Lonchura striata: one gene and its partner. The main gene of each other region encodes a partner of the protein of the gene in region 2 in a complex. Links are inferred from orthologs where the notes say so. Each region holds a gene or a part of one and is shown on either strand. Other genes may lie near its edges.

Region 1 (16,561 bases), on a different chromosome or scaffold from region 2:
AGGACACACTCTGCCGTGGTCAACACGAAGTTACTTTTTAGCAGCACTCCTCCACAGAAGCCTTTCCCTTCTGAGTTTAGCAGCAGCACCTAAGAAAATGCAAAAAACAATAGATAGCACTATCCATGTCAGGGAAAGTGATGGGTTTCATGAATTGCTAGGAATACCTGCCAAGGAAATCGCTCATCACTTTTCTTCCTGGTTTCACTTATAAGGTTATCACTCTCTTGAAGTCTGCCACATGCACATGCATCTAACAAATGAATTTAAAAAAATCAAAACTTCATATTGTATAATTTCAAGATAGCAATATCATTTCAAGATAACTAATACCTGCAAATGCCTACTGTTCTGCCTAGACTTTGGGGTTCTGCTTTTGCACAAAGGAAAAGCAGAATGGCAATTTCTCAGCTGGTGAAAACTGGAATAATTTGTTTGGCAATTTTAGTCATAACAGCTTAGCAATGGGCTGAACATGGTCACCCTGTTAGGCTTGTAGTGACCAGGTTTCACTGTGCTTCATTTCACTAATGAAGTGAGGTTTCCTCTCCAGCCAACCATTAGCACATCTTGCTTTTTCATCTTTGTATCCTGTATTCAAATTGTGTCAAATACCTGAGAGCTATGGCCCAGTCTGGACAAGGTAAATCCTGGATTTTCCTTACAGCTGTCACTCTACAGATATGCATGCCTTTCTCATCTGGTTTAAACAACACAGATGCTTTTCGACTGGATCACCCAGTTATCTGCATTTGTCACATTTCCACTTGGTTTGGTTTGGGTCACACACACTGGATTCGGTTCAGGGGAAGCTAAACCTCAGGACACCTTCCAGGTGCACACATTACATGCTCTCACAGCTGGCTGGTGCTTAGTCCACAGGACTGAACTAGGCCAGTTTGATATAAAGCCCCCCTGAAGTGTACACTGAGTGTGCACATCAGTCTTTCACTGCCAAAAACGTGGCTCTACAGATGAACTCCGATTTCACAGCCCCACTTGTGCTAATACAGACACAGGTCTAAATATACTTCCGTGGTTTTAGTAGACCTACTTTGTAAGGGGATGGTATTTAATGAGATACCTAATATGAGACCGAAGAACTAAAAAGGGCTACTGTTTCAAGCTAATTAATATGGCAGCAAATGTTTCCCTTCATGTATTAGACGATTGGTCAACTGATGGGAATCAACTGAATCTCATTCCCAAGCAAGCAGGCATTCAGCAAAATTACCCTTTCCTAAACAGGAGTGGAAAACCTGGTCCAGTGAGTGATATGTAGGGTGGTGCAAGTCCTCTCAGCTGATTCATACTTAAACATTCTGATCAAATAGCCCTTCTTTTACCATTACTTTGGCATCTTGGGTGGTGGTCCCTAGATTCCTTTTTCTAGCCACAAATATTGCTTTAGGCTCGAAGCAGACTTGAGCAGGTGCCCCCTTTATGTCCATGCTCACACCTACCTAATGCAATGCACCGTCTTTTATCCTTCCCAAGCTTGTAGCCATCAGCACAGGAACAGCGGTAGGAATCACTTCCTGGATAGCAGAAGTGGTCACATCCTACCTTTGCTTGGTGGTGACATTCATTTTTAGCTAAAAAAAATAAGCAGAGAAAAAATGTGGAGTATTCTTTCACTGTTTGAGACCTCTAGGTTTTATTTTTTATTCACTTTGTGTGGATGTGGGTTGGGACTCTGACTTGGTAGTATTTACCACTGGGAATTTTTCCCCTTGTTAAACAGAAATTGGAGAGAGCTGAATGTCTGCAGCATTCACAGACTCATTGTGCTCCCCCCTGCCTCTTGCTGCACCAGACACAGCACCTTTGAGTTCTGGGAAAGGGTGACATGGGTTTTTAAACAAAACACCAAGTATCTGCAGCAAGGAGAACTGTTGCACGTCATGGAGACAAGTATTGCTCGAGGAAGAAGGCAGCTAAGGTTTCTGGTTTTGAGAAAAACCCATAGCTCTCATTTTGCACACTTATTTAAACAATCAGCTCTCAAAGATAAGAAAAAAAGAAAGGGATTATGAACTTTGAAACATGCTCAACTTTCCACAGCTAAGCAAACACTTAAATCTTTAGCACAAAGCAAGTGTTATTTGATCTAGCTCATAGGTAGCAAAGAATCTTGTAGAACATGATGCCTAAATCTCACACAAAGATGATCTAATTCCCAACTCTTGTCCAAGCTCTGTCACCTTCTGTGCTCCTCCAGAAGCCGGTCACAGTCACACCCCTTATACAGAGAATGACCCTGTCTTCTGCAGCCAGGGCGTCTCCCACCCCAGGGGACTCTGAGCCAGCAGAAATACTGATGTCAGGGCTGGAAAGAACAACCTGGCAGATATAAAAATGTAGTATCTGGCCCAGGGTTTTCCTGTGCCAGAACGCATCTGTTTTACTTTATGCTTTTGCCTTCCACTGGAAACAGTCTGTTTTCTGGAGTCCTTCTGTCCTGAGGGACTGTCTCATGTGGCCCCAGAGGCACCAGGGTGCCTGGGACGCCACCCTGGCACTGCAGCCTCAGTCCTTCAGGCCACATCTGGGAGCACAGCAGGACAAGCAGCCAGGCAGCGCAGGTGGCAGTGGCAGGGCTAGCTTTGGGGTGTAACCATGAGGTGCTTTGGTTTCAGCTCTTTTGCTGCATTCCTGGAGAAGGGAGGCTCAGGGCACAGGGACAGCCTGCAGAGCTTTAGGATGTTTTGTAGGCAGGCAGCACACATCACCCTGCTCTGCCAGAGCTGTGCGTGTTACCCAAAACCACGGTAAGTGGCAACATGGGAGAGCTGCGTATGGTTTCATGGGGACACCCAGTGACAAGATGAGATGGGGCTTCTCAGAAGGAGGCAATGCTTACCAAAAGCACAGTTCTCTCCCTCGTAGCCCTCAGCACAGGTGCAGGTGTAGCCACGGATGCTGTCCTCACACACACCATTGTGCTGGCAGGGGTTTGAGGAGCACCTCCTGCCTCCTGGAGAAATGGAGAGGGAGGAGTCACCACCAGCACTGATCCCAAATTACACAGTCCCCATCCTGGCACATGAGCTGTTCAGAGAAGGGTTGTGAGAGCAGTTTGGAAGGAAATGGGCTAAGTGTCACTGAACTGCTCCTCAGGTGTAATTTTAGCTCAAATCTGCTTCCAGAGGCACTCTTGCAGCCCCTGTCAGAGAGGCTGGGAGACGCCCAGAGGCAGAGCCTCCTTCAGGATGGATGCTCTGATTCAGGGAAAAGAACTGAGTTACAGTTCTTGCTTTTTTTAGAAATGTAATATAAGACTGCTGTTTTAGGTCTCCCATATTAGATTGATATGTACTGGGTAGAAAAAGCTGGCATCAAAATTATAGAGCAAGTGTACAGCAAGCAACATCAAAATAGGAGGAAATATAACTTTTATATATCTGCACAATTATCATGCAGCAGCTCAGACACTAGCAAGCTGAACTGAACATTGAAACAAGAGGGTGTCCTCACTGAGCATGAAGCACCAGGCAGAGCTGCCAGTTTCCCTTCAGGCTACTCACAGGAATGACTCCTAAGCAGTATGAAAACATGATCCAAGTAACAACTACTTATTATAGACATAGGCAATCAGTAAGCAAGCCAGGAATGCCTAACCTGGGACATGTTGTCCAACCTTTCTAAAAATGAACACCTTGTCAGAGAGGTTAATTCAGTCAGTAAGCTGCCCCACCAGATTTCGGGGGTGGAAAAGTGAAAACTCTGCCAGCTATGGGAATAAAACAACAATCATCATCTGCTTGGACTATGGACACACATATCTTTGAGTGTTAGATGTACTAAAATACTGGCTGAAAGAGCTACCAGCTTCTGTAGTCAGATGCCACCAGCATATCCAAGCACAATGTAGGCCTCCAGGGAGGGTTTTTGGGTGAACTGGGGGAATCACCTGCACAGCTGAGCAGGCACAATTGAGGACCTGGAGCTAGGGAGGGGTTGCCCCTGCAGCCTGAAGCAATTAGATGGATTCAAGCCTCTGAAATCCATGTTAGGAAGAAAAGAAACCCAGCACCTAGCTTTATTAAAGGAGGAAAGAGAAGATTCAAGGAAATATAGAGAAATCAGCCTGATTTCTGTTATTGGCAAGCTATGATTAAACTATAAGCACACAACAATATAAAAAGGTGGGAAGTAAAAATCAACATATACTTTTTAAGATCAAATAATTCAAACCATTTAAATCTGATCATACTATAAGATAAGGGACCTAGGGGGAATCAGTGAACATCATACAATAGAAATGTCTCCAATGACATTGTCATTCAGTGAGCAGACTTCTATAAGGCATGCACAAAACTTTTGGAAAGTGATGTTTAAAGAGAGATTGGCAATGGCTAAGTTTATACTGTTGATAAAAGAAGGCTGGGAACAAGTGTGATCTCAGGCAAGGTGCCCTGACAGCAGACATTCAGCAAGATGCCACTACATCAATTTTGACTTGAAGGGACAAAGGTGGAGCAGTATAGAACAGAGCTGGTGGGTGACCCAGCAGTTAGGTGGGTGCTCAGCCTTTCCTTTTTATTCACAATGCAGATTTATACACTGCACACTGGACTTTCAGGGGAAAGCAACACGGATATCAGAGGTCTAGAAGATGAGATTATTGGAAGACAGGAGGAGCGAGGAGGAAAGAAGCCACTTTTCAAAGGCAACATTCTCCAAAATGCTAGAGAAGACGTCACAGAGAAGGAAACACACACTGCTGTTCTTTAGGAAGAAGACAGAACACATGGCAAGAAAGCCACCTCTGAGGCTGAAGTCAGTAATGTGTCCTGATTGTGGCTAAGCTTGTTTGGAGGGACCATTCTGAACTGGTTGCCCTTCTCCCATCCTAGGCTAGAGAGGAAGCCTGCATGACATGCTTAGTACAAATATTCAATGACTCAAATTAGAAATTAATCCCACCCTCAGAAAAGTAATAAAATGCCAGATATTTAGCAACATTCTTCATAACTTTTATAGCACTGATGGGATTCTTCTATGCAATGGCTCCCAGGACTCAGTAATTTAGTGGCTTGTGCAGAAAATTATTACTGACTGCTGATTTTGCCACTTCTGTATCCATTCTTTAAACATAAGATTAGAAATTAATAATAACTAAGTTAAAAACAAGAGAAAAACTTGGGTTGAAGCATTCAAAAAAGGGGAGGGAATAGGGACTAGTCACCATAAGCTGGTGCCACAGGCTTCTTCAGGTGGCATCTTGTTCAGGGCCTGACATCAAGCCCTCAGCTTCTACAGATTTGTTTCTCATCTTGGCACCTGTCAGGGAATGATGCAATCCCACTGTGCATATTTTGTAGACAGCTCAGTAGCTTTTAATATCGATTTCTCTTTCTCAGATTTAAGTGCTAATTCTGTATTTGGGAGATTTTGCTGGTAAAACTGTGCTGCTGCATTGTATCAGCAAAACATACTTTCTCATTGCCTAGGCTGTTTCAGATTCAGGAAAAGAAGCAGCCCATTTACTGTAATATCCTTTACTTACCTTCTACTTTAATTGTTTTTGAAGCTTTAAATGGTTTTTCCTGTATATTACTTTTTAAAAATCATTTCACATGTAGAATTTTCCTTCTGCTTTACTACAGACATGACAAATAGAGACTGATTGTTTCTCATAGTATAAACTCTTAGAAAATCAGTATTAGTCTGAATCAAAATGTTCATAATGTGATAGGACTATGAAGGAGAGAAATCAAGAGGCCAGCTTACCATAGTAGATATTCCAAAACAAATTCTGGGTGAAAAAAAGGAAAGGAAATTAGAAAATTAGGAAATTATTTAATTCCCATGTAATGTAATATGTCATAAATTCTTTGCTAAACCAAAAAACATGTTATGAGAGAATATATACAGTGGTTTAATATTTACAAAGCTGAACAACTATAATGTGCTGCTAGCAAATATACACATGAGAAGGGAGGGGCTTTGTCTACTGCTTACTTTATTGTTTCTTTAGAAGCTGTTCAGGAAGATGAACACTTCTTAGGCCACAGAGGAACAGCTAGATCCTTTAACAATGCAGCTCCCTGAAAAAACTGGCTGGTTATTGTCTCTCTGGTGTGCAGCAGCCTGGGAAGTGACCCCATCCTGTCCCATCCCACTTGGCCCCCAGCAGGTGCTGCTGGAGGCAGGGTGGTCAGCACAGAGCAGAGCTGTGGGGCACCACTGCTGGTCACCACCAGCCTGTGCCCTGCATCTCCCTGGGTACTGCAGCTGACCCTGGGGCTTTTTTCCCCAAAGTGACACCTCTGCCCACCCCTCCCTTCCCCAAAGCGCCACAGCTGCCCATGGGCAGCCCTACAGCTGTTTCCTCTGCTTTCCCTGCAAACAAAACTCTATCCAGATTCCTATTAAAGGGCACAGCAGACATCTCTATGTCTGGAGAGCCCCTGGTGCAAAGGAATTTGCAGATACTCACCAAGTGAGCCTCTCTCTATAGATCCCACTACTTGCTGGTGCATTGATTCCCTCTGTCCCAGTCATAAAATCACAGAATGGTTTGGGTTGGAAGGGGCCTTAAAAATCATCTAACTCCAATCTCCTGCTGTGGGCAGGCACATCTTCCCCTAGACTAGGTTGTTAAAGGTCCATCCAACATGGCCTTGAAAACTTCCAGGGACAGAAGGAAGCTTCTCTGGACAACAGTTCCAGTGCCTCACATAACTCTAACTCCTCTCATTTATTTCCCATGCTGCATGCATTTGCATTAGAGGATTTGAGTTGGGCCCTGATGAAGCCAATTTACTGTCTGGAGAGAATGGAATTCCTTTGTGCTGCCTTCCAGGTGCTCTTCTGCTGACCAGCACCCCTTTGCCCCTCCTAGTCCCTAAGGGATGCTGAAACTGTATTTCTGTGTGGTCAGGATGGGACAACAGCCACGTGATTTACTAATACAAAGAGCATGACACATCATTTTCAGGAGAAGACTTGAACAACATCAGAACTGACCTCCTTGTTTCCATTTTGACCATGGAAAACACCTGCTTGCTACCAGCAGAGGTGGAAAATGCAAAAATTTCACGTGGAGAGAAACCCAAACAAATGAAGCAGTCTTGTGTTTCACAAATAAAAGATCATGGAAGCAGTTTTTATTGTGCATGCAGGGAAACAAAATACTTACGAGCATTTCATCATCTTCAAATACTTCTCTTGCTTCTTCATGTGTACATCTCTCTTCTAGGCATTCTCTTTCCAAGCTACCTTCAAGGACTTCCTCCAGAAGTAGGGAACTGGCACGTCTCTGTCTCTTGATAACACTGTTTGCATCATGAGCTGATATAAATACTGGAACATTGTATGACAAAACACTAATATAAGTACTTAGATTAATTTCCTTATATATTTTTACCTTCTTTTTTTGAGATAAATAATTTTGGTTGATTTGGGGTTTCAGCCACATAAAACTTACATACTTAAAGAGCTCTAATGTTTAGACTAAATTCAGCTGAGGAGTTGAGACCTTTTACTTCTGGGGAATGCCTGACTTGCGCCCAAGCAGGGGGAATTTGAAACCCTTCCTGGCACATTGTTTTACTGCATGAGATATACAGAACACAGTGCCGGGCCACAGCCAGGGAAAGGGGGAAAACATTATTATAAAAGACAAAGGCTATTTAGTGAGACTGCACAGGGGTTTCAGATGCATTGGTAGAAGTGGATATTAGTGGTATTAAGCTATGATGGTGGATCCAAACTGATGCTCTTCAGTTTTAGTTCATGGCAATTTTATTTTATTGAGGATCAAAGCCATGACATTGCTGAGTTCTCAATCAATTCTCTGTTAAGGAGAGTAAATAAAAACCACCCCTCATCAATGCTCATAGTTAAAAGGGCTATATCCCATGCCACTGTTTATGTGGAAAACACTGTAACCTTTCAGAGAGGTGTGCAAATGATACCTCCATCAAAAACTGCCGGGCAGCTGGTGCCACCCTGGAGCTTCATCTTCCACATGAAGCAATGTGTGATCGTGTGTGTCAGCATGTGTTTGTCAGTTCTTCTGTGCTTGGAAAGTAAATGTGTTGGGCAGGGAATATTCAGGGTTTTTTTCTCTTTTATACAGTGTTTGGGGACCCAACACTGCTGGTTGATGTAATCAATAATCATAGAACTGGAAAAAGTGAGAGCAATAGCAAAATAATTCCAGAACTGTGTACAGATATTTAGTTATCTTTTTGAAAGACACCCCATAAGCAACTGACTTGCACATGATACTAAAAAAAGAAAAGCTTAATGACTGTTCTGCATTTTAAATGTTATCTGACCCCCAGCACATATTTCTGCCGTGCAGTGGTTCTGCTACATCCAGCACAGCTGGCAGTGAACTTCTGCCACAGGGTGTTTTGACTTTCTTAAGAGAACACCATATTTTTCTTCCTTGCCTGGCTCTTCTTTATTTTTTGACAAACCATGGAGAATAATACAGAAACACAGACTTCCTCAAGCTATAACAAGCATGCATATTGGCCTCTTCCATAGTAGTCTCTCATTTTTATTTCAGCAGGAACTAGAAATATAAAACAAAATTCGCTTTAATATCTGAGATACTCTAAAAATTGTACGGAAAGACAAAATATTACCCTGGCATAAATGATGGTACTTCAAAACTACATTGCCCCATTAGCCTACAGCAGTTTTCACTTAGCTGCATGAAATAAACAGCAGAATTTAAAGAAAATAAGGAATGGACTGTTTTCATTTATTTCACTCTGTGCAACAAGGTAAACATTATACAAGGTATAAAATTACTGGTGTTTTTAGAAAAGCAGCAGCACAAATCAGAATTAAAGGTGCAACAAAACAAAAGCCATACCTGCCTGCTCTGTCTGAGGGAAAAGGGCAGAGAGAAGGAAGAATATTATCCAAGAGCACCTTGCCATTGTCACCCTCTGAGCCTGACAGTGCCGGTGCCTGCCTGCATTCCTGCAGCTCTTGTGGGAAATGGCTACAGGAGAGATGTTGAAGTTTAAAGTCCAGCTGCTTATGGGCAAGTCTTGGCTGCAATGTCAACACATAGGGAAAAAAACCACAGAAAACAAACCCAAACTAAACCAAAGAAATCAACGCCCAGCTCAGCAGTGCAGCTGTCCCCTTCTCTCCATGCCCTGGCCGACTGTGGGGCCTTTGCCAGTGCCCCTGGGAGCTGCTCCGAGATTTGGACATTCCTCCCATGCCCCAGCGCTCACCTACCGTAACACGGCGTGGCTGGAGAAGCACAGCACGGACATTTCTTTGTACCCTGTCAGAGCACAGGCTGGACAATGACCTCAGGGACCAATTACACGATGTGGCCCTTTAGGACATTGTACTCACAAAACATTTACCAAGGCTTAGCTACAATGGGCAAATTCCCACCACCTTCTGGGGCAACCAAGCCCACAAACATGATTTTCTCCCCTAAGGGTGTATCTGAATGGATATGGCATTTTTCTTTTTCACTCTAAGTTTTATAATGCCCAGCCATGAAGGAGAGCATGGAAAACTTTTCCTGATGTCAGGATCCCAGTCACACAGAGATGCAGAGCAGATGGAGTCTGTGAAAGGAGGTGTAAGGTTTGGAGAGGACAGAAACAATCCCTGGGCTGCTGAGATATGCACCCTGTGGACAGCATGTCCCTGCTTCCCAGCCCTGGACAAGAGGAAGGACAAACCCATTGGCATGCAATGGCAGTGCTGCTGCAGAGCTCCAAGCATAGACTGGCTCCTGAGAAGAGCAGGAAACCATTTCTACACTCAGAGCAATGACCAGGGAGAGGAAGAGTGGTTTTGTACTTAATCTGAGTTACAAACTAAGACCATTCTGTGTTTTCATATAATAAATCTCCAGCCATTATTTGCGTATGGAGTTGTTTTAATAAAGTATGATTGACCTGAACATCCATGGGTAAATCCACAAATAAAACTGCATTTCCCATCAATTGCACCTTTGAAAACAAGCTTCAGTGAGTATTGAGGCCAGTGAGGGAAACAAACCACATCCCTCACCAAGCCCCTACCAGTCCAGGGCTGATGTTACAGCTCACATCACAGGCCTCAATACCTGCAGCAAATAATCAACCTGAACTTTAAAACTCCATTGTGGGAGGGTTTTCCTGTAGTTTCTGCAGGCCTGTTGTTCCAGAAGTTCACTTGGAGTTAAAACTTTTCTAATACCAAGTTTAATTTTATTCACAGCCAGTTCATGACCTTACGTATTTGTTTTGCTCTCTTTGATATTTCTGCAGAACTAATTAAGAGAGCCTCCCATCCTCTGGTTAACTGTGTGTCCAGCTTTCCTCAGTAAATGAGCTCTCCATGCTCTCCTCAGTCCCCTGAGGCCACCAAGCCCCACTGTACCTCACCCAGCCAGAGCTTTCTTGGCTAGGAAAGGGAGAGTTTTTGCCAGTGGTCACATTTGGTGGATGCTGGGGGCTCAGACAGCACCTCCGGTGTCCAGGAGTCACTGTGGAGGCTCACCTCTCCCCCTTGCCTTGCTTTGCAGGGGTTGTGTTGCTTTTCCACCTTCCTCTGGCTGTCCCTCCCTACGGGAGCACCTGACAGTGAGGCTGCTGCTGTAGCCCCCCAGTGGCCTGGGACCACTTGCCTGTACCTTCTCGTGATAATGAATATTATCCTGTGCATGCACAGCACAGCCAGCCTGGCTCCCTTTGGCATGAAAAATATGTCACCACTTGATGTCAGCACAGGACTTTGCAGAACCCAACACAAAAATATGGATCTGCAGGTTTTGTTTTTTTTTTTTAAGAAACTGTTTACATGTCACAAACCTAAACCTATATCAACTAAGGAACTCTTGTAGGTATAAGTTTGTCATTCAAATTGGTTTAATATTAATAACCCAGAGCTTTAGAAGCTGTATTCTCACAAGATCTTAGTTTACATGGCCCTTTTTCCTTTTACTGTGGGATCTTTTTTACAAAAGATATCCCTTGACTGAGCAGCTGTGTCCTTGAGAATGGGACTCGGTGTACTCAGTATGCATGGCACTGACTTTGCTTTTTCTGTATTGACATCAATGCGACAGGTTTATATTTTAACTTTCATATTACTATGGAAAACTTCATGAAAAGAAGGGTTTAAAAGGGCAGTCCTTTCCTCATGTGTTTCTTTATAAAGAGTTACTGGGATTTCTTTTCCCCTTCCTTTAATTACCACAGTGAGCATATGACAATGTGTTTCATTATGGAGTCCTGCACCCTATTTCCTGCAGCCTTGTTTAGGTGTTGCCTTCCTCTTGAAGGGTTACTCATTCCAGGATGAAGCCTGCAGGCAGTGTCAGACACCAAGTCAGCAGCTCCTCAGGATGGAGCAGCTGAGGGAGTTAGTCCTGCTTTAGCAACTGGTTCACATGGAAGCTGTTCCTTGCCTAGTTCAGCAGCCCAGGGGAAGTGGGTTTGGAGACCTGCTGCCCAGGCAGTGATGGGGCAGAAGTGATGGGGCAGTCAGTGATGGGGACATGTCAATGCCACCCATCTCCAGCTATGGGCTGGCCATCAGCCCTGCTGCAGCACGATGTACCAAGGGCAGCTGTCCTGAGTAACCCATCACATGCTTTTTTGGAAATGCATACCTCAGCTAGTGAGCTGCTTAGTGCAGTTAAAATGGGTACTGATTTCATCTAAACACCTGGATTGAGATCAGCCAAGTCTGTTCACCACCTGCAGAAAAAAAAAAGTTTTTCTTGCCAAATCCAAAGCGCATCAGCATTTCTAAATGAGGAGGAACTTGCGGCTGTTTCAAAAGAACATCAGCACTCTTTGTGGTTTGGTTACAGATTGAAGGAAACCTTGGAGGAGCAAACAGGGGAAGGGAGCTCTGATTTTCTCCTTTGGGTGCTGCATCCATAAGAAGACTATCAGCCTTCTCTCAAGGATATGCAAGCGTCCAGATGGCCTGGCAGTGAAACAAAAGCCACCTTGGAACACCTCTTACATTTGCTCCATCCCCAGAAGTATTCAAGGCCAGGCTGGATGGGGCTTTCAGGAACCTGGTCTAATGGAAGGTGTCCCTTCCCATGGCAGGCAGTGTTGTACGAGGTGATCTTTGAAGGCCTCCTCTAACCAAAGTCCTTCTATGATTCTATGATCTCTGTAGATGCAAGCTCTGTGCATATATTGTTAAAAATAGCAATTGTTAATATTTTATTTATTAAAATATTATTTCTTTATTTCCACCTTCATGTTTCTTTACCTTTTCCCTCAACTTATATATTAAAATTCTTTTCCCTACAAAAATTCCAGCCAAAAAAACTGGCTATGGAAGAACCAGAAGATGGCAGAGCACATGCACAGACAGCATCATAGCACTTCAGCTCCTAGTTACAGTTTCAATGATGGATAAGGGGGGTTGACAAGATGGTTAATTTTGCTTTCAAATGAGGAATATCCTCTCATCCCATGTAAAAAATGAAGCAAAATCACTTTGGAATCTGTGCCATTTGGATGAAGATTTTTTTTCTCCTCCAGCTTTGTCTGGTAACATCTCCCCATTGCCCTAGTATGGAGCTCAAGATAAAAATGAAGGATGGCTCTCAGAGAAACCTAAGCAGCAGATTTTTTTCAGGCAAACTCCTGGAACACTGATGCAGTCTGAAGTGGACAATGAAGAGACAAGAAAGCACGTGGAATTTACCTGGATTTGAGACTTTTTAATGCAGTTTCCTGTTCCTCTGTTTTTCTGCCTGACTCTCTCCACTGAGGACATGGGGCAGCAGCTCTGCAGCTGTGTCCAGATGCTATAATTTAAATTGTTCCTTTGACCAACCAGTCACTTCTTCTGCAACAGACTCGGCAGGAGGGAAGTGCTAACATGACCTCGGCAGCACCAGTGCAAAGACTGCACCCAACATCTTCCACCCACAGCCCAGACATATGTAACTGGGTGGTGGAACTGGCTTTTGCCACCAAGCTGACTTCCAAGACATAGGAGACATGGATTCTGTGGACTTGTGCAACTGTCACACTGCTGGACTACTTTTGGAGATTGACTTCTGCATTTATGACAGGAAAAAACTCTATTCATATTCAAATAGGATGGCAAAAAAAGTTTATTCAAGTTTCAAAGTTCATCTTCAGGATGACTGAAGTTAAAATGAAGTTTTCTCTCTTACCCAACACACAGCCCCAGGCTTCCCTGCATGCTGTTTTAAAGATCTCTTTAATTTGTGTTTATGTCTTTATTCCTCACTGCTGGCTATGGAGCTCTGGAGAAAGAGTTTGGTACTCTGTCCTGTCTGTGCAGACCCAAAAGCATGAGGCAGAGCACTGATGATGTGTGCCTGGCTATGTGTCTAGAGTGAGGATTGCAGTTCTCTGTGCAATTAAGCAGCTGTGGTAAGTGTCCCTGCAGACAGAATTTGTTCTTATCTGGTACTGAATGTCTGAGGAGGTTGATGATGGTGTTTCATGACTGGCACTACAAACTGGGAGGTGAGGAAGGAGTTCAGATGACTGATTCCTCTGAATGCATGTTGAGTTAAAGACAACAATCAAAGCCCATCAGAGATGTCTGTGCCCTCTGTAACTGATTATGATTAAACCAGGAGTGCTGCAGAACTGGGACAAGGGGTCATGGAGGGGCTGAGTGGGAGGAGAGATGGATGGCAATGAGAGAATGGGTCAGCAAGTGCCAGCCCTGTTATGGCCTCCCTGTAGCCCCTGGGACACATCCGAGCATGGCCCACTGTTCCATGTATCAGGCTCTCTCTATAGTTTAGGGCTGAACTTTAATCAGAGGTTTCAAAGGAGGTCCTATGGGAATTCAAACAGGGGTATATCCTTTGGAGCAGTGACGTCAGGGAGTGACGTATGCAGCCATCAGGAGTTGAGCTTCTATCCATGGCTTGAACACCATTACCTACAATGCACTGTCACTCCTGAATCAAATTTATTTAGCAGCCTGAAGCTTACAATGTGTCAGAGAAAAGTGGCAGGGAAATAATACAAATGGGACAGACTCCAGAGTGGGTTTTTGAGTTTTTATAGGAAACCAGACAGTGATCATTGCAGAACAACACTGACTACTCTATTCCTTTCAAACTGATCAACAAATTCTATTATAAAAATCATCCCCAAATAGTGACTTTCACACTTGAAAACTGGAAATGGGTATGGTACGGAATGAGAAAAATATTGCATATTTTATGCCACAATCCAATTTATAACATCTTTCTTCTCTCTTCCAAAATACAAACTGACACACCTTTTGAAGTACAACACAAAGTACTTTTTTGTAGGGGCTCAAATATCTCAATACCTGCTTCGCAATTTTTTACATACCACTGAACTGGATGCAAAACAAATAATTTTTTCTCTGGATTGAAATAAGGCAGACAGAGGATATCAGGTTCAGATGATAAGAGAGTTAGGCTTTTATTAGTCTTGAAATATTAGTTATCCTTGCATATTTAATTTTTTTTTCAGATTTGAATGATTTAAATAATACTTCATATAAATAATAATATATAACAATATTGTAATTTCTAGGGTGTGCAATGCATTCACTTTATGATAGCCAAAACCCTTATATCAATAATGCTGGTGAAGAAAGTATCTCAGAAAGAAAGCAAGAAGCTATCAGAACAGCAGTGATTTTGGTGACAGCAAGCAAGCCTTTCCAATTCAAGGAACTTCATCTAACAACTCATTTCACTCAGCGACCTGCACAGTTAATTAGACTCTTCTGGATCCATGAGTGGTTTTTGCATTTTCTAGGGTTTTTTTTCTCTATACATGTTCTCAAAGCCACTGACAATTCCAATTAATTAATCAGAATATGTTGCAGTTGACATGGTCACAATACAAAACAACACTCAATTTTCAGAAGGCTTCAAACCCAAGTTTTATTATAGAATGCATGCTTTTAATACATTCTTACAAGACTCATAAGTTTACGCTTTACTCATTGGTCAGGAAGGACAAACAAAATGCATATTGAGCAGAGAGTTGCAGGTGTCTCTTATCCTTCTTTCTTTCTTATGTCAATGGCCTTGTTAGAAAATTCTTTCAGGGGTAAACGTGGATCCTCTTACCAAACTTCTCTCTGGGTCACAGAAGTCACTGTAAAACCTCTTCCACGAGAATATATCTAGCAAAATCTTCTGGAAGGCATGGTAGGACAACAACCCCAGAAAATGTGATAGGTTTCTCCAATTTGAGAAAGACTGCTGTTGCTGAAAGTTTCTGTATCCAATTCAGCATGGCCATATATTTTTCCACTCTGTGCATTGGGTCTTACCTTTCCTTGTCTACCATCCCTGTGTCAGATAATGAAAGCAGTTGCTAATAAGACAATACCAACAAGTCTAAGGCATCTCAATAATAGAAGACACCAAAGTTCCTTGTACTCTGTATAAGCAATGTGCTGTACAAATAAAATTGACTAGTCCTGTATCCTGAAGCTACGGCAAATCATACCCATTTTGGAGACGTTTTAGAGAGCTGACAAAATGCCAAGCAAGTAGAAAATCAGAACATTTCAATCAGAATAATGCTTTCAATGGAAACTTTGATAAAACTTTTTGGGTTTCATTACAGTATTGCTATGGCACTCATGATAGACAAGACTCAACACAGAAGAATTTTGCCTCATTTGTAGAGCGATATAGTCAGACTTAAATAGAAAAGAGATATTTATTGTCTTTTAAAAATTCAACATTCTGCATAAAAGAATCTACAAATTCACATATATATTTGTGCTCCTCAATTTGTCTGAAGTCTGGGAATTAAATGGTCAGGCAATTGGAGTTAAGACAACTACAATTTTTGCTTTACTCTGGTACATTGAGTACAACTTTTATGACTCAGAACACCATATTTCAGTGCCTAGAATTTGTGATAAACTACTTTTTAATAAACAAAAATAGTAAACAATATAATTGAGGTTTCAAATATGGAACAGTCCCAGAATAATATCATCATGCTGTCGAAACAGTTATTGCTAATATCTGAATGAGGTCTCTGGAATTCTTCAGTGTTTGGCCAACACAGGAAATTGCATAAAGTTGTACTATTACACCAATTTAACTACATCAGCTCAGCCTTACCTGCCCACATAACTCCCTAGTTTATATTTGTCTTCTAACATACATAAAATAGACTAGGTCAAGACAAGCTTAAAGAAACTGTCTATTCTATAAATTTGGCCATGTATTTCACTGTTACTCAAGAGACAAAATGAGGCAGTAAGGAACAAAAAGAGGGTAAGAAAAACTCTGCTAAAATTCACTGTCTCGCATATGGAGAATAAAACATGGGACATTTTCTTATTTTTGTAGTAAAGGGCAAAATAAGGAGCACTTACCAACAATTCCACATCTGCCACCCACTTCTTCCCTAGACTGCCCCTCTCAGCACTTGCTTGATGCTGAAATAGAGACACATTCAGGGCTGGAGACCTGTGCAGAAGCACAGTACTCAGGAGAGAGGAATAAGCCACCCAAAATTCTGACACCAGGGAAGCCTGGTGAGGAGAAAAGGCCTCCAGTCCAGGCTCCTTGCCTGCCATGGGACATGCTGGGTGAATGCCAGCCTCCCTG
Region 2 (16,833 bases):
AATAGAGCGGCTCATAATTTGTAAAGTACAGCAGCTAAGAATTAAGTTAAAATGTTCTGCACAATAGCAGTGTAATATGTTATGCAGTTTAATAATATAGTAACAATATATTATGTGTGTTTCTTCTTTTGTATAAGAAAAAACAGAAAATCAAATTCCTAGCTCATCTGACAGAAAAATCAGGGAAGCAGAGACTGGAGGAAGCAACGTTCTGGTGGAATAAGGTGGGAGCAGCAGATGGGAGTCTCTAATGTCTGGACTAAATAAAATGCATCCTGCAATGTTAAAAAATTAAAATAAATCTTTTTAATAAAGTTCCAAGCTGTAAAATATGTTCTGATAAACAGTGTAATGGTTGCCGAATTCTAACATCGTAGTGAAATGATATGAGCTATAACTTCAGCTATGTGCTCTTAACTGCTGCAGCTAAGGAGATTTTGTTTTCTTCAGTTATGCCTTTGTAGTTTGAAGTCTTGGATTTAGAATGAACATATCCATTATTTAATTGACTTATTTACAATCTTAGCAACCCTTAGCTTTCATATCTTAAGGAAGAAATTGAAGGAATTGTTATGAATATGGAAAAGGAATCCCACATTTTAAAGATCTGCACACCTAATTTAAGACCAAAGTCCAGAACCATTGATCAGTCTATTAAAAACCATAGACTTTTGAAGCATTGTGCTGTGAATTTGGAATTAATGTTTTTACAAGTACTAAGTTAATAAAAAATTCTGTGTAAGTTTCAAAGCAATCTAAAAGTAAATGTTTCTGGATTATGTAAAAAAAAAAAGTTTTATTTAATATGTTTTGTTGTATAAATACTTGTTTTAATTTTAGTATTTCAAATTGTATTTTCACTGTAATAATTTATAATAATGAATCTAGTTTTTAATCAGCTGCTATTGTAAGCTGTCATAGTTCAGTGATGTCATCTGCATTTGTTTGTAATAACATTAATGTTTCTGTCAAAATTTATGTGGAAAAACATGCAATCATATTTGGAAAAGTTCTATTTATGCCAATACTTGAGAGAGGGATTATGAAGCTATTGTCAGCTTCTCTTTCAAAATGGAGGCAGCATAAATATATTGATATGAGAAATATATGGTTTTTTAAATCTATTGGTTTATGATAAAGATGATTTGGTCTGTGTATGCATATGTGTGTGTGGTTACTTTTTATAATGTAAAAACATGAATGATGATTTACTCAAAATAAAGCCTAGGACAATGCTATACATGCATGTTCTTGAAAAAATAATTCTCAGGGCATCTTTTATAATTAAAATAAATAAAAGCACTTACCTATGGAGGGTATTTATTTAAAATAGAAATAATGCTGGATGTATGCTGTCTTGTGTGAAGTACAAAATGTTTCTTTGGATTAAGCACTGTCTCAATGCTTAAGCTTCCTACGCCTCAGGTAGATTTAGCAACATTCTTTGTCTTAAGTCACAGGCATTGTTTGGGTTCTGTGGAAATACTTAATTTTTCAGTTTGTTCTGCAGCCTGGCATAGGATTTTGTAAATCACATATTTCTTTAAAAGCTTTTTGAGTTTTATGATGTTTAACATTCAGTATTGGTACAGGTGTACAGGTGACCTTGGCTGGCTCCTCCTGGGTTCTGCTTTTGGTTCATTAATGCAGGCAGATACTCCTGGTTTTCCAGGCACAGCTGACTCAAGTGCCAGCTACAGCTGCTCACCTGGGTCACAGGAGACTGCTCAGGCTGTTCTTAATCTGACCTTTGGCAGGGACCAAACTCAGATCATCAGTAGCCAGCTGTAGAACAGGACTCAAGACTGTGTTTGCCCTTTCAATGCCTTGCAGAGCAACCAGTAAGTTCAGAGAATTGAAGCTCTTTCTCCCCTTAATAAGCAGGTAATGAGTTCTCTAAACAGTCTGTCTTTTATTGATTTATTTAATGCTGATAACACATACTCTACTCAATAACCTAAAATTCCTTCAATGTAATCATTAAATGCTCTGTTTAGACATTTTGTGGATTGGACATTTTCCTTGTGCAATACCTCTGGTGTCTTGTGCATACTTTCATCAGTCCTTTGCACTACAGACCTACTTCCAAGCAGTCTTTTTAGATGCCACTTACTTCTGGGTTAGTTCTGCTAAACAGCACCAGTGCATTTGAACCCTTCGGGGCACTGTTTGTACCTGCTGGTCAGCTGTAGCTCTGGAATAACAGCTGAAGGTCAACTGTGCAGTGGCATTTGTTGGTTTTCTTATAGACCAGTGGCAGGAAGGAGTGATTCTCTTTCTGGGTATATTTGTAATGCAGTCTGGAGTTAGGTTAGATGCACATTCATAGTCTAGTCAAATAGCAGAGCCTGCCTCCTAAGTCCTTTTTTCAGTGAGGTACATCAGTGTCTGGGCTGTCGTGGGCAATGGTAACTGAGGTGATTTTTAGAGATTTACCAGCTTTACCCTATAATGTATCTTTTCTATCTTCTCTAGCAGAGGTATCTTATGTTTACTGATAGACACCTGTGAAGTTCCTTGTCAAATGATTTTGAAAAGGCTTCTGCTCCTTTTTGGGCAATTATTTTGTGAGGGTTATATGATCAAGCAGAATAACGCTGACATCTGTTAATTACATAAACCTAGAAGCAGCTTTTTCATTGTTTCATACTTTATACATAGGACTCTGCTAATTAAAATCTATTAAATGTTATGATTTAGTCATTTTGTTGGATGCACTGCTCTACTTGAATAAAGGAAATTGTGGTTAGATCATGGAAATATTTTTCTGAAAATATTTCTGAAATATTTTTCTGAAACATCATGGCATTACCTTTTGGATTTTAGGATCAGCTCTGTGAATAAATTTGTTGTACTTTAATAGAGGTATGTTTTTTCCTACCAAAGTGTGCCTTATTTCAGTTATAGAGCCCTGTTACATAGTTCACCTTGGTGTCTAGATGATATTACAGGTAGAAAGTCTGGGTTTAAGAGAGGGCTAGCTTTGTGCTATGAAATAGTACAGGCCAGTTTTTCCAAACTCAGAATGCCTAAGTTATTTTTCAGGACTATTTTGTTTTTAATGCAAAGAATATTTTTAAGGCACATCATGTACTCTGAGAAAATGAGGTGATTTGGTAGTCTGGATAAATGCTTTGAAAGAGGTCACACTCACAAGGCAGACTTCATGATAGACTTATTTTCTATGAAATAAAGATCTCTAGACAAAGGTTAAGAATTCACTTTTAGGATTTGATACTCATTCTGTTTTCATAACTGGCAAAATTCTGCTAACACTCAGGTCACTGGGCTCTTCAGTCTCTTTGTAAAGAAGCTAACATTGAGGAATCTGCAGTGTTTGGGAATGAGCTTCCTGAATATTATGGCATTTGAATGTCTGGGGCTTTTTATTCAGATTTTTCACGAAAATACTGATTTTTTTAAATTTCACTTCTGTGGTTGTTGGGTTTTCTTTTACCAAAGGTAGATTTTACAAGTCACATTTTTGTTGCTTTGAGCCTTAATGAAGTTAGCTTGTTGTGTGGCATTAATAAAATATTGCTAGCATGATCTAACTAGGAGAGACAAAACGGGTTTTCACATTTCACATTTCAGTGTCTTTTTATTATAAAATAAATTAATAAAAATAAAGCCTCTTACATACCAAAAAATAGAAACTATTACCTTTATTCACATTTCTGTTGGATCAATCACCCTGCCAATGAACAGTAATGTTTTAAAAGTTTCTTCAAAAATCATGAAAAGGAATGGTCGGTCCACTTTGATGACAGGAGGCACTGTGAATGCAGTTATTTCTGAGGCACTTGCTGCTGCAGCCTCAGTTCCTTCTTCATCCACTTCAATAACTGCATTTTGGACAACCTGAAGTGCAAGGTAGAAATAAGTATGTGACAGAAGTAAATACTAACATGAAGATTATTCTTCCAGGTGAAGAAAGCTTCTGTTATGCATTAAAATGAACAGTTCAGTGCAATCTACCTCTGTTAGACTGGTGGAGGAGTCAGCACAGCCACTATGCCCACAATGCTCACAGTGTGGATGCCAGTTCAGGAGTCATTGCACGTTTTCACATTCCTGAGCACAGACCTCACTTAAAGATCAGGGGTTTTGCATGAAACAGCCATTGCATTTGTGCAGAGTGCTCCTATTTGACACCTAACTGTGCAAAGATGTTTCTCAATTGTAGGAAATGTGTTTTCACCAGTCACAAACACTGACTGGCCAGATATGTCATTCACAGCTGACTTTGTGAGAGCTGAGGGAAATGCACCAATCTTTATTTTTTCCCCCGTATATTTCTAATTTGTACATTTGGTAGCACAGACTAAATATGTAGAGCAATAAGGCACAGTCCTGGGTTGGTTTGAATATTTTCCACACCCACTGAAATTGCAGCCTGGCAGAATCTGATTTTTCATTTTTCCATCTTTTCCATTTTGTTCTTTCAGCCTGCTTATATCTGTGTGTGCTTCTGCTGTATTAGTATCTGTACTGGTGAACTGCCTGGTGATCTTGTGGATTTACAGCTCTTAAACTCATAATTCTAGGAATTACTTAGGTGAAAACAGTTGAAGGGCTTCACCAGTGTTGAGGTTTGTGCTACATATTCTTAAATAATATTTTTGTCTTTCACAATTCCCAGGGACAGGATGCTCTTCTGGCACTTCGTAGCTGATGCACATATTGCTTCTAATATCAGTTAGCAGCTCCTGTTAAAGTGTGATTTTTTCATAACACAATAGAGTTAACTGCTGCAAACACAACTCTACAGCTGAGAATCAGCATGAAAGTTATGTGATCAAGAGGAAGGGAGAAAAGAGTCGCAGATCGCCATTAAATTTCCCAACAGTGAAATAGTTCATACCAAACTGAAAATCACTGCAGTTTTATCCCTTTAATCAGTTTATTCTTAGGATGTTAGATCTTCCCAGAAAGGTTGTTTTGTTAAGCCACTACAATTTTGAAAACCTGTAGGTCAAGCATGAGAGTTTTTGAAACTTGTATAGAAGTATTTATTATCCCACCCTGTTAATTGGCTAATCACAAAGGCTTCTATAAGGAAGATACTTGTGGGTACAAGTATCTCTGTGTGTTTTGTCTTTCATCTCCTTTCTTTGACCATGCATTTTAATTTTCTATTATCAGCAAATTGTCCTTTTTATAGACTAGCTGTTTCTTTTTCATAAGACATCTCTGGTCACATAGACATTCCTTCTTGATATTGATGTGATTGGCAAGTCCTTTGTCTTCCATTCTTTGCTGCTTCTCATTCTGTCTGTGTTTTCCATCAGTCTTCTCAAATTCACCTGTGCTCTCCCTTAAGCAGCAATACAAAATATCACTTTCTACTCCTCTTTCTGCGTGGGGCTGTGTTTCTGTCTTCTGGGCTGTTCACTGCCCTTGCCTTTACATGTTTAAAGGTTCTTTGAAAGTTTCAGCATACAAAGTGGAAGATGTATATGGGTTGAAGTGCAACTGTATTATGCCAATTCTTTCCTGTGAGATTCTGTTTTCTCTCTTCTGTAGTATATAGAAGAAAAAGTAGGAGTGCTTTGACTTCTCTTCCCTCACTGCTAACTTTTTGACACTTTATTATTTAAACTTTCTAAGGTTCTTTATATTTTGAGAAGTGTACCTGTCTCTGGACTGTGTATGAGGAGTTCTTTCCTTGAATTTCCTTCCTTGCCCTGGCTTTTGCCATTTGACTGTCATTTATATTGTCTTTCTTGTCCACAGTTTTTGTAAAATTGTGCTCATAACCTGCCAGCCATATTTCTCTTGAGGCAGATTGAATCCTCTCCTGTGATTTGGGAGGTGTTGAGCATCTGTGAGATGTCACTTCTCCTTACCTCTACACACCTCATACTTGAAGTGGGATCGGTTCTGATTAAGGTGTGTAGATTGCACATACCTGGCAGATGAGGTATTTTGCTATTAGTGTCCCTACACATTCATGTGACCATCTTGGCTGGCTCTTTATATACTATTATAATCCAAACAGCAAATAATTTTAGTGGGCTTACCTGTGAAACTGCTACATATTTGTGATCTGTCAGATGACTAAGATCTGCTGAATGTGTAAAGAGTTTTTTAATTCCAAGACCTTGAAGCAGTTTCTTCATTTTGTATTTTTGCTCTAGTTTAAACTTTGGAAATGAAATATCCACTTTTCTGTTAAAAAAAAATAAAATTAAATGCAAACAGTCACTTGACTGCTGAAATGCACACTACTCAGGAATTAACCTTTACACAGAAAAAGAAGGGACAAAACCTGGAGAGTCTAGCATTTAGGTTGGCAGAAAATAATTTCTAACCTGTTGGCTGCCAGCGATACTAGAAATAATTTCCTTTTCTGTATAAATACTTCCATCAGCAGTTACAGTGTCCTGATACCACGGCAACACACTACTTCATTGACTGGTGAAAGAATTTTCACTTCAGGAACTACATTTCACAGGAATCATTTGGGTTTACATTTTTATATTTAAATTTATCAATTCCTCTGGGTTTCCTCTGGTAAGAAATGTTTAATAAATGTCTAGATTTTTTGTGGATTTTGCTCAGCAGTACTAATTTAAGGAGAGAGACCTAAGGGAGAATATAGAAAGACTCATGCCCTCACAGAGAGAGACATTTTTAACTGAGATGAGCTGAAGTTTTGTCCCCTTGGAGTCAAAACTTCACATGCCACTTGGGCTATGGATAGGCCATTAAAGGACCTCTACTCTGTAGATACCTCTTGCCACAGAGATGCTACCAGGGGAAAAGGCTTAGGATGACCAGCTAATCTTTCCCGGGCTTTGTTGCTTTGCTGGAGTAGACATCAAAGACATTAGGACCCATGGGTGTCAAAGCAATACCTGGTTTTCATGTTTCCAAGCCAGGATTCCACAAGCTCTGTAGTCAAATGGTCTTCAATTGAAATGTAGTCTCCCTCTTTTTCTGGGATAACAATCAGCATGTGGGCATTCCCTTTGTAAGGTATCTTTATCACAGTGCATCTTAAGTTCTCATCAAAAGTTGAATTAATTTTATCTGACTTGAACATCATAGGTACCCGTACACTTCTGTATTTGTTTATGTGGAAAGTCTCAATTTCTGTGAATTTGGAATTAAATGGATAGACCCACTTGCCTGAGGAAAGAAAGAAATTAAATAATTATGTGTGTTTAGATTTGTTCAGAAAAGTGTTCTAAAAAGTTTAAAAGATACAGTCTGAATCTATTTGAAGTGGCTATAAGTTGTGTCTGGGATTGGTGGATGACAATTTCAGTATATTTTATGTTTATTGTATATAAATATTTTTACAGGAAAAAAACCCCAAAGTAATCCACAAAATAAACTGCTTCATTTGCACAGAAAGAAGGGAGATATTTTTCTAAGGTTGGTTAGTTGCCACTCAAGTTCAGAATTTATGTTACCTTTGTTTTGTTGATACCTGTTGAGCATCTGACCTTTCCTAACATGTAACCTCTGAAATTCTCTACTAGCAGTTCAGTGTCCTGTATTTAATTTAATTATACAATATTTTGGATGGGGATTCACTGGCTTCTCCACGGAATGGTTTCTGCCCATTTCTTTCCCTCACCCTGTAAGGCAATATAATGGGGTACTTGAGTTCCTCTAGGGCAGATGATTCTTGATTGAAATAGAGAAATCATTTTTGTTTGAATGATTTTGTGTACTATGCTAAAGCAGTCCATGATTTTATGCCCAGTATTCAGCATTTAAGACTATTGTGATTGAGACTTTTTCATTTTAATGGGTGAATGAAAATAAAACAATGTTTCCTGTCATAAAGAGGGATAATTTGGAGACGGACTGAGATAGTTTGATACAGGGCTTTTTGTTCCCTTTGAGAGTCTATTGTATGGAAGACAGCATAGACGAATTATGGTTCCCTGCCATGAAAAATAATTTCCTATTAAATAAGCATAATAGAAAAAAAAAATAAACTTAGATAAAGACATAGAGAAAACAGGACATATAAATTCATTTAAACTCCCCCTAATGTAGCTTAAGTTAGAGTCTTGATTCTCCTAATAAATAATTATTCTGCAAAATAAAAACAGCAATTACCTTTAAAGAAAATGTAGTCCACAAGCACCAGTTTATTATGGCGGTCCAGCTCTTCAAAAAACACTGGGATTTTTCCTTTGGTCATTTTGTTAATGTTTTGATTGATGAAATGTTTTGCCTGTGTTAAATTTTCAAAGTCCACTTTCAGGAAGTCCATATCAAAGTACTGCTTAGATAAATTCAGGAAAGACTCCTTGAGTTTGAAGTCCTTTTGAATAAAAGAAAGAATACCTTGCACGAGGAGAAATTCTTCATTCATTGTGATGTTACCTATCAGTTGTTTAAACAAAGCTGGTAAATGTTGGTGATCCACTCTGTCCTTCACATCATGGAGATTTAGACCTTTTACAATTTGTCTGTGTGTTTCTCCTTTGGCTGCCATCATATAGACACTCATGAGAGCTGACACAGAAAGGGGAGAGATGATTACATTGTTATCGTGTGTCATTGCAATTTTTCTGTAGAGGTTAAATCCAAAATTTGCAGTCTTTTCAGTGAAGTTGTGAAGAGTGAGGTCTTCAAAACCTTGGTCTTCAAAACCTTGGTGTTCAAAAGGCTTAGAGATGTTTTTGTGGTGATACCACTCTTTGGAAATACTGATGTTACTTCTTTCCAAGAAATTACTCTCTTTTTCCTCCTTTGGAAATTTAGGTTTGATATCAGCCTGGATAAATTCAAAACATATTTCACTTAAGAGAAGTATGTAGATTCCTGTTTTCATGTTGACATCCAGTAATGAGCTCTTTAGAGTTTTTCCTAGAAATAAAGGCGACAAAATGACTTTTAGTTTGTTCAATTCAGAATGCAAAAGGTCAAAGATGCAGAGGTCTTTCTGCATCTTCAGGGTATATACTGAAACCTGGCCAACAAAATGTTCAGACAAGACCAGGCAGATCTTGCAGGACACCTCAGGCAAACCTTAGCATCAGACATTGTGTAAATTTGCAAATGAAATGCACTTTGCAAGCATAAAGTGCAAATATGATTATTATCCATCTTTCCATGTAGCAATATATGAATTCTCTCCCATAAAGTAGTGTTGAATTGCACCTTACGGAAAAATTTTGAATGGCTACAATCTTTGGAGATGCATTTTCCCATTGTAAATTACATGGGGTGTTTAAGACCACCAAACCTGCACAGATTCCTTTTGTATAGCAGTGGGCAAAGGGGTAAATGAGATTAAAAGATGGATTTAATGGCCTGTCATTAAAGTAGTAAGTGATTCAACAGTCTAGAATCACGTGGCAATTGTTAACTACTCCTTTTAAGCTAAGGATCTGTAGCAGCAAATTATGGTCATTGTATAATTTGTGATTTGGCATATGGGGAAGCTGGTTTTATCCGGTTTATTCAGAGTTCAGCTGAATTTCACAGTTGGCTGATTCAGGCTGTGGGAGTTAGTCCTGGAAAGGTATGTTGATGTGAGTACTGAGACATTTGGGTGCCAAGTCACGAGGTGCTTTTGGCAGTCAGGTGGTGTGCTATTTTCTTGTGAGATAATAGGTCATGTTCTGTACTTGCTGCAACACAGATGGGCTGTCATGACTTAATCAGGAGGCAGTGAAATCGATGAATGTTATGCCTGCTCTTGAGTGCATGACAGAGAACGGAGAAAAATATGCAGCAAATATGTTGTGAATATTTTTAAATTTATTTTTCTTTCCCATTAACCCTTGATTTATTTTTCATGGGATTCTCAGTGTCTGGGTTTTCAGGACTGGAGTAAGGAAGGGGATGACTTGACTTCAGCTCATGCCTTGCTAGCCAAGCAGTGCATGGGACATCTGGAGTGCTGGGATACTCACTGTCCCCTGGCAGGCTGAAGCAGCCAGCTCAGAGTTAGTGCAGGAACTGCTGAACATTCCTTCTGCTGTAGTGACCCACTTCTGTAGGAAGTAACACAGGCACAGAGGTCCTGTTCCTGCCGCAATGCTGCACCTGCCCTGGCAGCAAAGAAGGAGGTTCTTTCCTCTGGGAGTCATCCCTACTTTGAAGAAGCATCCTTGGACACTGCAGAGTCAGCTCTAGTGAAGAGGCAGGGATTGGAAAATTTTGCTTTTGATCATATTCAATGAGAGGGAAAGGATTTCCTGCAGCAGCAGTTTCTTGCTCTGAAAGAGCATCAGGCCTAACTGCTCACCAGGTATTGCAGAGCACAAGGCCTTCCTCATCTTTTCTGTTATCTTCTCGATGCAATTCCTGCACACAGCGTTGCCTTTGGCAGATGTCACTGCTGCCTCTCTCTCTGGGGGCTCTGGGACAGGACGTGGCTCAAGTGGCCGCCAGCATCCCCAGGAGATGTGAAGGGACTGGCTGGGCAAAGTGCTGAGCTGCCTTCCAGAGGGCTCTGCCTACCCCACACAGACTGGTTTTGGATGGGAAGGGCAGGACAAATGCAGAAGCTCTTGTTTACAGGTTTATCCCAAATTATTCAACACTCAAGGAAAGATTCCTGAATCCTCAGGCAAACGCATACACATGTGCTACTGATTTGGGTGCAGTGAACATGGAAATAAGAACCTTGCAGTTGCACTAAGTAATCACTGCAAATCTGAGATTGCAAACATTTAAAGTTTACATTAAAGCAGCTGTATCATTCACCTTTACTAGTTAGAAACAGAGCATGTCCTCTAGAACTAGGAAAAACAGTTCTGGGAACAATAAAGTAGAATTTATGTACAGTATAGACTTGTATTTAGACCTGAGTGAAGCTTATTGCTAATTTTAGACAACTTACTTTATTTGTAGAGCAGAGAGCTCATTAATAAATGTGTGTCAGAGCAAAGTGAACATTATTTCCATTTTAAGAAATATTTATTTCTATCAATATCAAAGAAAGACGCTTCTTGTGCAAATGCCTTTTTCTTTTGAAAGCATTAGAGCAAGACAAAAATCCATTAGAAACAGATTAAGATCTACAACCATTTAAAACATCACATCTAGAGAATCATTGATAAATATATAAAATTGCATTATATATATAAAATATATTATGATATTTTCTTTACAATCTAAATACTTCATATAAATCTTATCTTACCTATTAGATAGCTCTTCTGTTATGTTTCTCAATCAGTTATGTTTAAAAATGAGATTAAGATGTCTGTCCCATTTAGAAGTTTTTGAACAAATATTTGCTCTTCCAAAGACTGATAATCTGGTTTTGTCTGTTATAAATTAACTGTTTTATAAACACTGAATATGTGTTTCCTATAAATGGCATAATAAGGGAGGGTTATATTCCAGTAAATATGTTCTGTCTTTCACGAGAAACAAGAGAACAACAAATTCTTTGCATTTAGCCCTTCAGCAGCCTATCAGGATGTGGCCCCCACATCCAATAGCCCATGAGAATTATTTTTCAGGCAGGCTCTGAGTTACTCAGTGGTGGAAGACGTATCCAATCCTGCTTAAATTATCCCCTTACATAAAAGAATATGTCAATATTCACCAAGGCATGAGGGAGGGAGAGAGGGAGAAGGTACAGAACATTTGTAGGGGTGTTACCAACACCCTTGCCCTGCAATTTGGCCACATGTTGAGAGGAGAGGCCACGGCTCCACTCCTACTTTGAAGAATGTGCCAGGTATTCGGTGATAAATCAGTCTGCCAACATCAACTGCCTGATAACCACTGAGGGATTTCTCCCATAAAATACAGAGTGGGCCAAGCTGATATCCCTACAAAAGTTATACAGAGCTATGGGAGGCATTAATAAATTTGAATTTTCAGTTGGTCTTGCTTGAACGGATTTGTGTCTTGAGCCTCATTATTTGGGCAGGGCACATTCTTTAAGACAAATAGTTCATTCAACAATTTCTCTAGAGTGGGATGGTCTAAACGCTTCACTGTTTTGATCATTGGCCTAATTCCAGATAAAGCATACACATGGAATTCCCTATCTTCCCTTTGTGTTCCTAATTTTTTTCAAAAATACTCCCAAATGAAATAGAACATTTAATTTTGATTTGGATTGTAAAATAAAAATAATGTGGCTTTCAAATGTGAGATAAGGGTACTAGTCTCTAATTTTCCACTGAACTGAAAAAATAAATGTTATATGCAGGCTAAGTGGATGTAGTAGATATTTTTGAAAGCCCATAAAGAATTAGGGCATCCAGGACTCAGTTTAAAAAAGGCTTTTTGTTGCTGATGAGTATTGCTTCTATAAGAGTGTTTGCTTACAAGTTGTAAGATTTCACTAGGAAGGGCTTAAGAACTGCATGCAGCCCCTCTGTTGTGTGGTATCAAGGATACCAGATTTGTATCCTTGTTGCAAGGATACCATACTGGAGGGCAGTTGTGGGGTTTGTGCTCTTAAGGAGTTCAACAGAGGGGTCACAGACTCTAGCTTCTTAAATTCTAGTTTGTTTAAATTAATTTAAAATATTTTTCCTTTTAGAAGCAATCCTGGTCATAATAGACCCCCAGTGTAGGCATTGTATTACAGAATATGGGAAAATAAGATGGGTTTACAAACTGAAGGCCCTGTAATGTCAGGCAGTCTAGTCCCTAAACATGAAAAAGATCTACTGTGGGTGCCCCAGTGACTTCAGAACTTCTGTTCTCTATCCATGTGACTGGACACTTTTTTTTTCCTGCTTCCTAGTCTATATGTATTTCTGGTTAATTCAGTTTGATTTGAAATTCAAGTATCCTCTCATTGCGTGGCAGAAATTTGCATCTAATATGGTTGAACAAAGCTGCATTACTGTGGTGTGGCTCTGAATCTCTTCTGAAAACTGTGGTGCTGTGGTTGTGGCCCAAAAGAAAATACAAGGAAAACCTGATGGACACAGACCCTGTCTTTTGTGCTCAGCAAAATCAGCGGTTATTTGCAATGATAGTGGCAAACAAGCCTTTTCCTCCTCTCACCAGGATGCTGACACACATGGTCACTGCTGGAAACTAAGACACTCAATATTGATATTTAATATTCAAAAGATTAAGATTGTTTATACATGGTACTGAAAAGAGGGGTTTGAAGAAATCAAAAAGTCTTTGACTATCTGTTCTGGTTTGTAGGATAAGCTTGTATTCTATTTGCCATCTGTTGGAGGTTGGGTAGGTTTATTACCTCTTCCAAGAACGATGGTTTGCTCCGAAGAGGTAATCGTTTGTTAATGGGACATTGACTGACTCACTGCAGGCCTGGTAATGTTACACCATCCCATTGTGAGATGCTCCACCCAGAGGGGGAAGCCAAGCACTCTTTTATGATATAAAGTGGTACCTTCTGGGGAGACAGGGCAGCTCTCTCTCTCTTTGCGGGATGCCCAGAGAAGCAGCTCCTTTGGCGGGATTCCCAGTGAAGTGGCCCCTTTGCTGGATTCCCAGAGGAAGACCGGCCCAACTGCCACCAGATCTTCAGAGAAAACTATACCCTTCTAAAGATCACCACTTCAGCTGCAATTCATCAGCCACTGCAAGACGAGCAGCTGTCATTTCAACTGGACTGCTACCAACAGCCCGACTCCTCAGGGTGTCAGGTTGTGGACTTTATCACTAGTTCTGTTTGTACCAATTGCATTTGCCTTTTTAAATTGTTATTTAGTTTCTCCTAGTAAAGAATTGTTACTCCCATTCCCATATCTTTGCCTGAGAGCCTTTTCATTTAAAAATCCTGGTAATTCGGAGGGAGGGAGTTTACCTTCTCCATTGCACAGGAGGCTTTTGCCCTCCTTCACAGACTCCTGTCTTGTCAAACCAAGACAAATAGTGTGGAAAATCTTATATGAAGTCCATTCCTCCTGGCTCTGTCCCATAGGAAACTCATTTCCTATCAGTTTGTCTATTAAGAAAAAAAAAAAAAAATAAACCCCAAAACAAAAGAAGCTTGCTTTAGTGTTTTCATTTGCTACAGTATTATTGCAAACACACAACAGAACTCTGTCGAGCCTTCCTCCTACCATACCCCCCAATGGAGGCACTCCATGGCTCTTGGCTTTCAGTGCTGTTCACCTGCTTCTCACAGCTGTACCCATTGGGTAGGAGGCTTGGCTGCAGCCCCACTCCCAATTACCACAAAAATCCCCCCCCACCTTTTTGTTTGTTTGTTTGCTTGTTTTTGGTTTTGTTTTTCGGGTTTTTTGGTTTTTTTGTTTTTTTGGTTTTTTTTTAATAAATCGACTATTTCTCTACAGGACTCTTGCAGAAGAAATTGTAAAAATGGTACAAGTATCTCTTTTGTAGATTTCACTAACTCTGGAATGTGTCCATGTACTGACCTTGATTCACTCCTTCAGGACAGGAATTCAGGTAAGAAGGAGTGAACAAATCTTCCATCTCTGACTCCAGTTTTAAGCTCCAGTTAACCTGCTCTTGCTGTGTCTGGTTATAGCAATCAAATTATTAGTAAAAATATTAACTGGGCTTATTTGAATCAGTGTAAATGACTGATCAATACTGTTATAAGAACACAGTAGCTCCAGCAAGAAATTAATATGGGTTTTTTCCCCATGAAGTACACAGGAAATTTACACGGATTATCAATCAAATAGGGAGCATTTGGCAGCTTTCAGAAGGAAGTGAGGTTGGTAACAAAGCTCCTTTCACAGAACATGAGATTGATTTGAGTTGCAGGAATCAGCTTGTGAATTCTTGTTGGCATCATGAACCTGATAGCTTCACTCATACTTCTGATGGAAAGGTGTGCAAACGCTGCACTTTGCACACTTGCTGGAAGCTGTACCAAGGGACTGAGGACTGAAAAAGAAAATAAGTGTGAAGGTTCAGATCTGGAGAGGAGCTAGATTTGCCTGCATGGTGCATTCAGAATTGTGCCCAGTTTTGGGCTTCTGTGTACACAACAGACATGGACTTACCGTGAGCCAAGCCAAGGGCCACAAAGATGATTCAGGGATTAGAGCACCCTCCATATGAAGGAAGGCTGGGACAGCTAGAACTGTTAAAAGAGAGGCTCAGGGGGAATCCATTTGGAAACAATCCTGTGCCATGTGCTCCAGGAAAACCTTGCTTGAGCAGGGAGCAGATGACCCACTGTGATCCCTTCAACCTGACCCTTTCTGTGATTCTGTGATCTTACCAGTGCATCTAAACACCTGATGCAAAGGAATGAAGGCAAGGGAGTCAGACTCTTCTCGGTAGTGCTCAGTAAAAGGGGAACATGGGCACAAGTTAAGCCACATCGAATTCAAACGGAAAACAGGATTTTTTTTTTTTTTTAATTGTAAGGGTGGTCAAACAGTGGCAAAGGTTGCCCAGAGAGGTCATGAAACTCCATTTATGGAGATCTTTGAAACCCAGCTGGACACTGTGCTGGGCAATTGGTTCCAAATGACCTTGCTTGAGCAGAGGGGTTGGACTAGATGATATCAAGAGGCTGCTCCAAACTTCAACCATTCTGTGATTCAAAACCTTTATTCAGTTGCTCTTTAAATGCAGCTGGGTCATGCCCTGTCATCCTGTGTACATTTGCATCCAACAATCACTTTGCCTCTTTTCTCCTTGCAGTGCTGCCAGTGGAATGCCAGGAGCCCAAAGTGTGCTGCTCCACCCTATGCACGGCATCTCAAAGGTACCTAGTTCCTACCTCTGCTGATGCACACAAGTGCTTCAGTACTCAGAAGCTTCAGAACCTGGGTACAGAAGATCACAAACACATGGTACAATCCCTGTTTTACAAACAGGGATTCTTTTCTTAGCCCAGGGCACTCTTTTGGGGCCCCCAGCATAAGGCACGCAGGGATCCAAGCAAAGCTTCCATGAGAGATGTAGGCAGGTGGATACTGCCCACCCCCTTTTCTTTCCACATGCCCTCAATCCCTGCTGGGACACTCACGCTTCCCATTCCAGCTTGGCTGGAGCTACCGGGTATGATCATCAGTCAATCTGCCCCTACGGGGATGGAATATCCAGAAAATAAAACAACAAAGTGAAAAAACAGATGAACTTTATTCAAATTTAATACTCCAAAAATCTAAAACTATGGGGTGGGAAATCTACATGGGGACAACCTAAGACCTAAACGAACTTGATAATATCTTAGAACTAGAAAGCTAAGAAAAACTTCATCTTGGGAAAAAGGTTTTGGGGAACTTATGGCTATCCTAAGGGGAGCTATAGCTAACAAAGGGGATCCTAACTAAAACCTACACCTAAAAACATACATGCCCCAGCTCTGCTCTGCCAGCCGAGAGGCGAGCTAGAGCTGGGGACCTCAGAGCTGGGGGGAGAAGTGCAGCCGCCTCTTCTTCCGCAGTCCCCATTTGGCTGTGGTCTTCTGCCGGCGCCTCTCTGGAGAGCTGAGGCGCAGGCACAGCCGCAGCAGGGCATCGTGCTGCCTCAGCAGCTGCAGCAGCTCCTTGCTGCAGCCGCGTCCCTGGCAGCAGCGCTGCCCTGCGCAGACCGGGGGGCTCTGGCTCTTCTCCTGCAAGACACAGAACGGGGAGAGTGTGGCGATGAGCCATCTGGCCATCACTTGGGACGCCCCAGGAGACACTCTGGCCTGGCCAGGCTGCCCAGGGCTGAGGCTGCAGGGAGAAGAGCTCTGAGCAGCTCAGCTTGGTGTCCCTGGGGCTCAGCCCCCAGCCCTGATTCCCTCCCTGGGCTGCAAGTCCCCCTCTGCCTTGGGGCCTTGGGCAAAGTACTGCCAAGAGGGCCAGGACCCTTGGGATCTGACCAGCTTTTCCCCTCCATGGCGGCTCTCAGGCCTCACCCGACGCAGGCTTGATTCAAGGCCTTCTTTCATGCTTACCCCTGCCCCCATCCCAGCTGCCTGACACCCTTCCC

Evidence for each region.
Region 1: the proteins of SERPINA10 (region 2) and PROZ are in contact, whole or in part, in a crystal structure (PDB 3H5C), measured with the Homo sapiens proteins. The link is inferred for Lonchura striata from reciprocal best matches to the Homo sapiens genes SERPINA10 and PROZ. Residues at the interface, in NP_001094077.1 of Homo sapiens: Arg88, Lys89, Ser91, Met92, His94, Asp95, His257, Asp259, Lys260, Tyr261, Asn282, Phe283, Lys305, Met306, Asp308, His309, Leu310, Ala311, Leu312, Asp314, Tyr315, Leu316; in NP_003882.1 of Homo sapiens: Cys129, Pro131, Cys141, Leu142, Pro143, Ser151, His250, Met251, Arg252, Asp254, Ala257, Glu259, Asn260, Glu284, Lys285, Asp286, Phe287, His290, Leu291, Thr336, Thr337, Arg338, Arg390, Ser392, Leu393, Trp394, Gln397.

Annotation. Positions count from the first base shown.
Region 1 is NC_134604.1:91,533,124-91,549,684, forward strand, and holds the start of PROZ (vitamin K-dependent protein Z), read right to left. Parts: upstream 8,964-16,561; 5' UTR 8,907-8,963; coding exon 8,840-8,906; intron 7,312-8,839; coding exon 7,148-7,311; intron 5,762-7,147; coding exon 5,737-5,761; intron 2,978-5,736; coding exon 2,864-2,977; intron 1,596-2,863; coding exon 1,464-1,595; intron 254-1,463; coding exon 168-253; intron 90-167; coding exon 1-89. UniProt on the Homo sapiens protein: Appears to assist hemostasis by binding thrombin and promoting its association with phospholipid vesicles. Inhibits activity of the coagulation protease factor Xa in the presence of SERPINA10, calcium and phospholipids.
Region 2 is NC_134608.1:15,242,764-15,259,596, reverse strand, and holds the start of SERPINA10 (protein Z-dependent protease inhibitor), read right to left. Parts: upstream 8,801-16,833; coding exon 8,080-8,800; intron 7,135-8,079; coding exon 6,861-7,134; intron 6,172-6,860; coding exon 6,024-6,171; intron 3,862-6,023; coding exon 3,670-3,861; 3' UTR 3,664-3,669; exon of another isoform or gene 3,582-3,663; intron 1,303-3,581; exon of another isoform or gene 163-1,302; coding exon of another isoform or gene 138-162; intron 1-137. Other genes in the region: PPP4R4 (serine/threonine-protein phosphatase 4 regulatory subunit 4), read left to right, coding at 138-162. UniProt on the Homo sapiens protein: Inhibits activity of the coagulation protease factor Xa in the presence of PROZ, calcium and phospholipids. Also inhibits factor XIa in the absence of cofactors.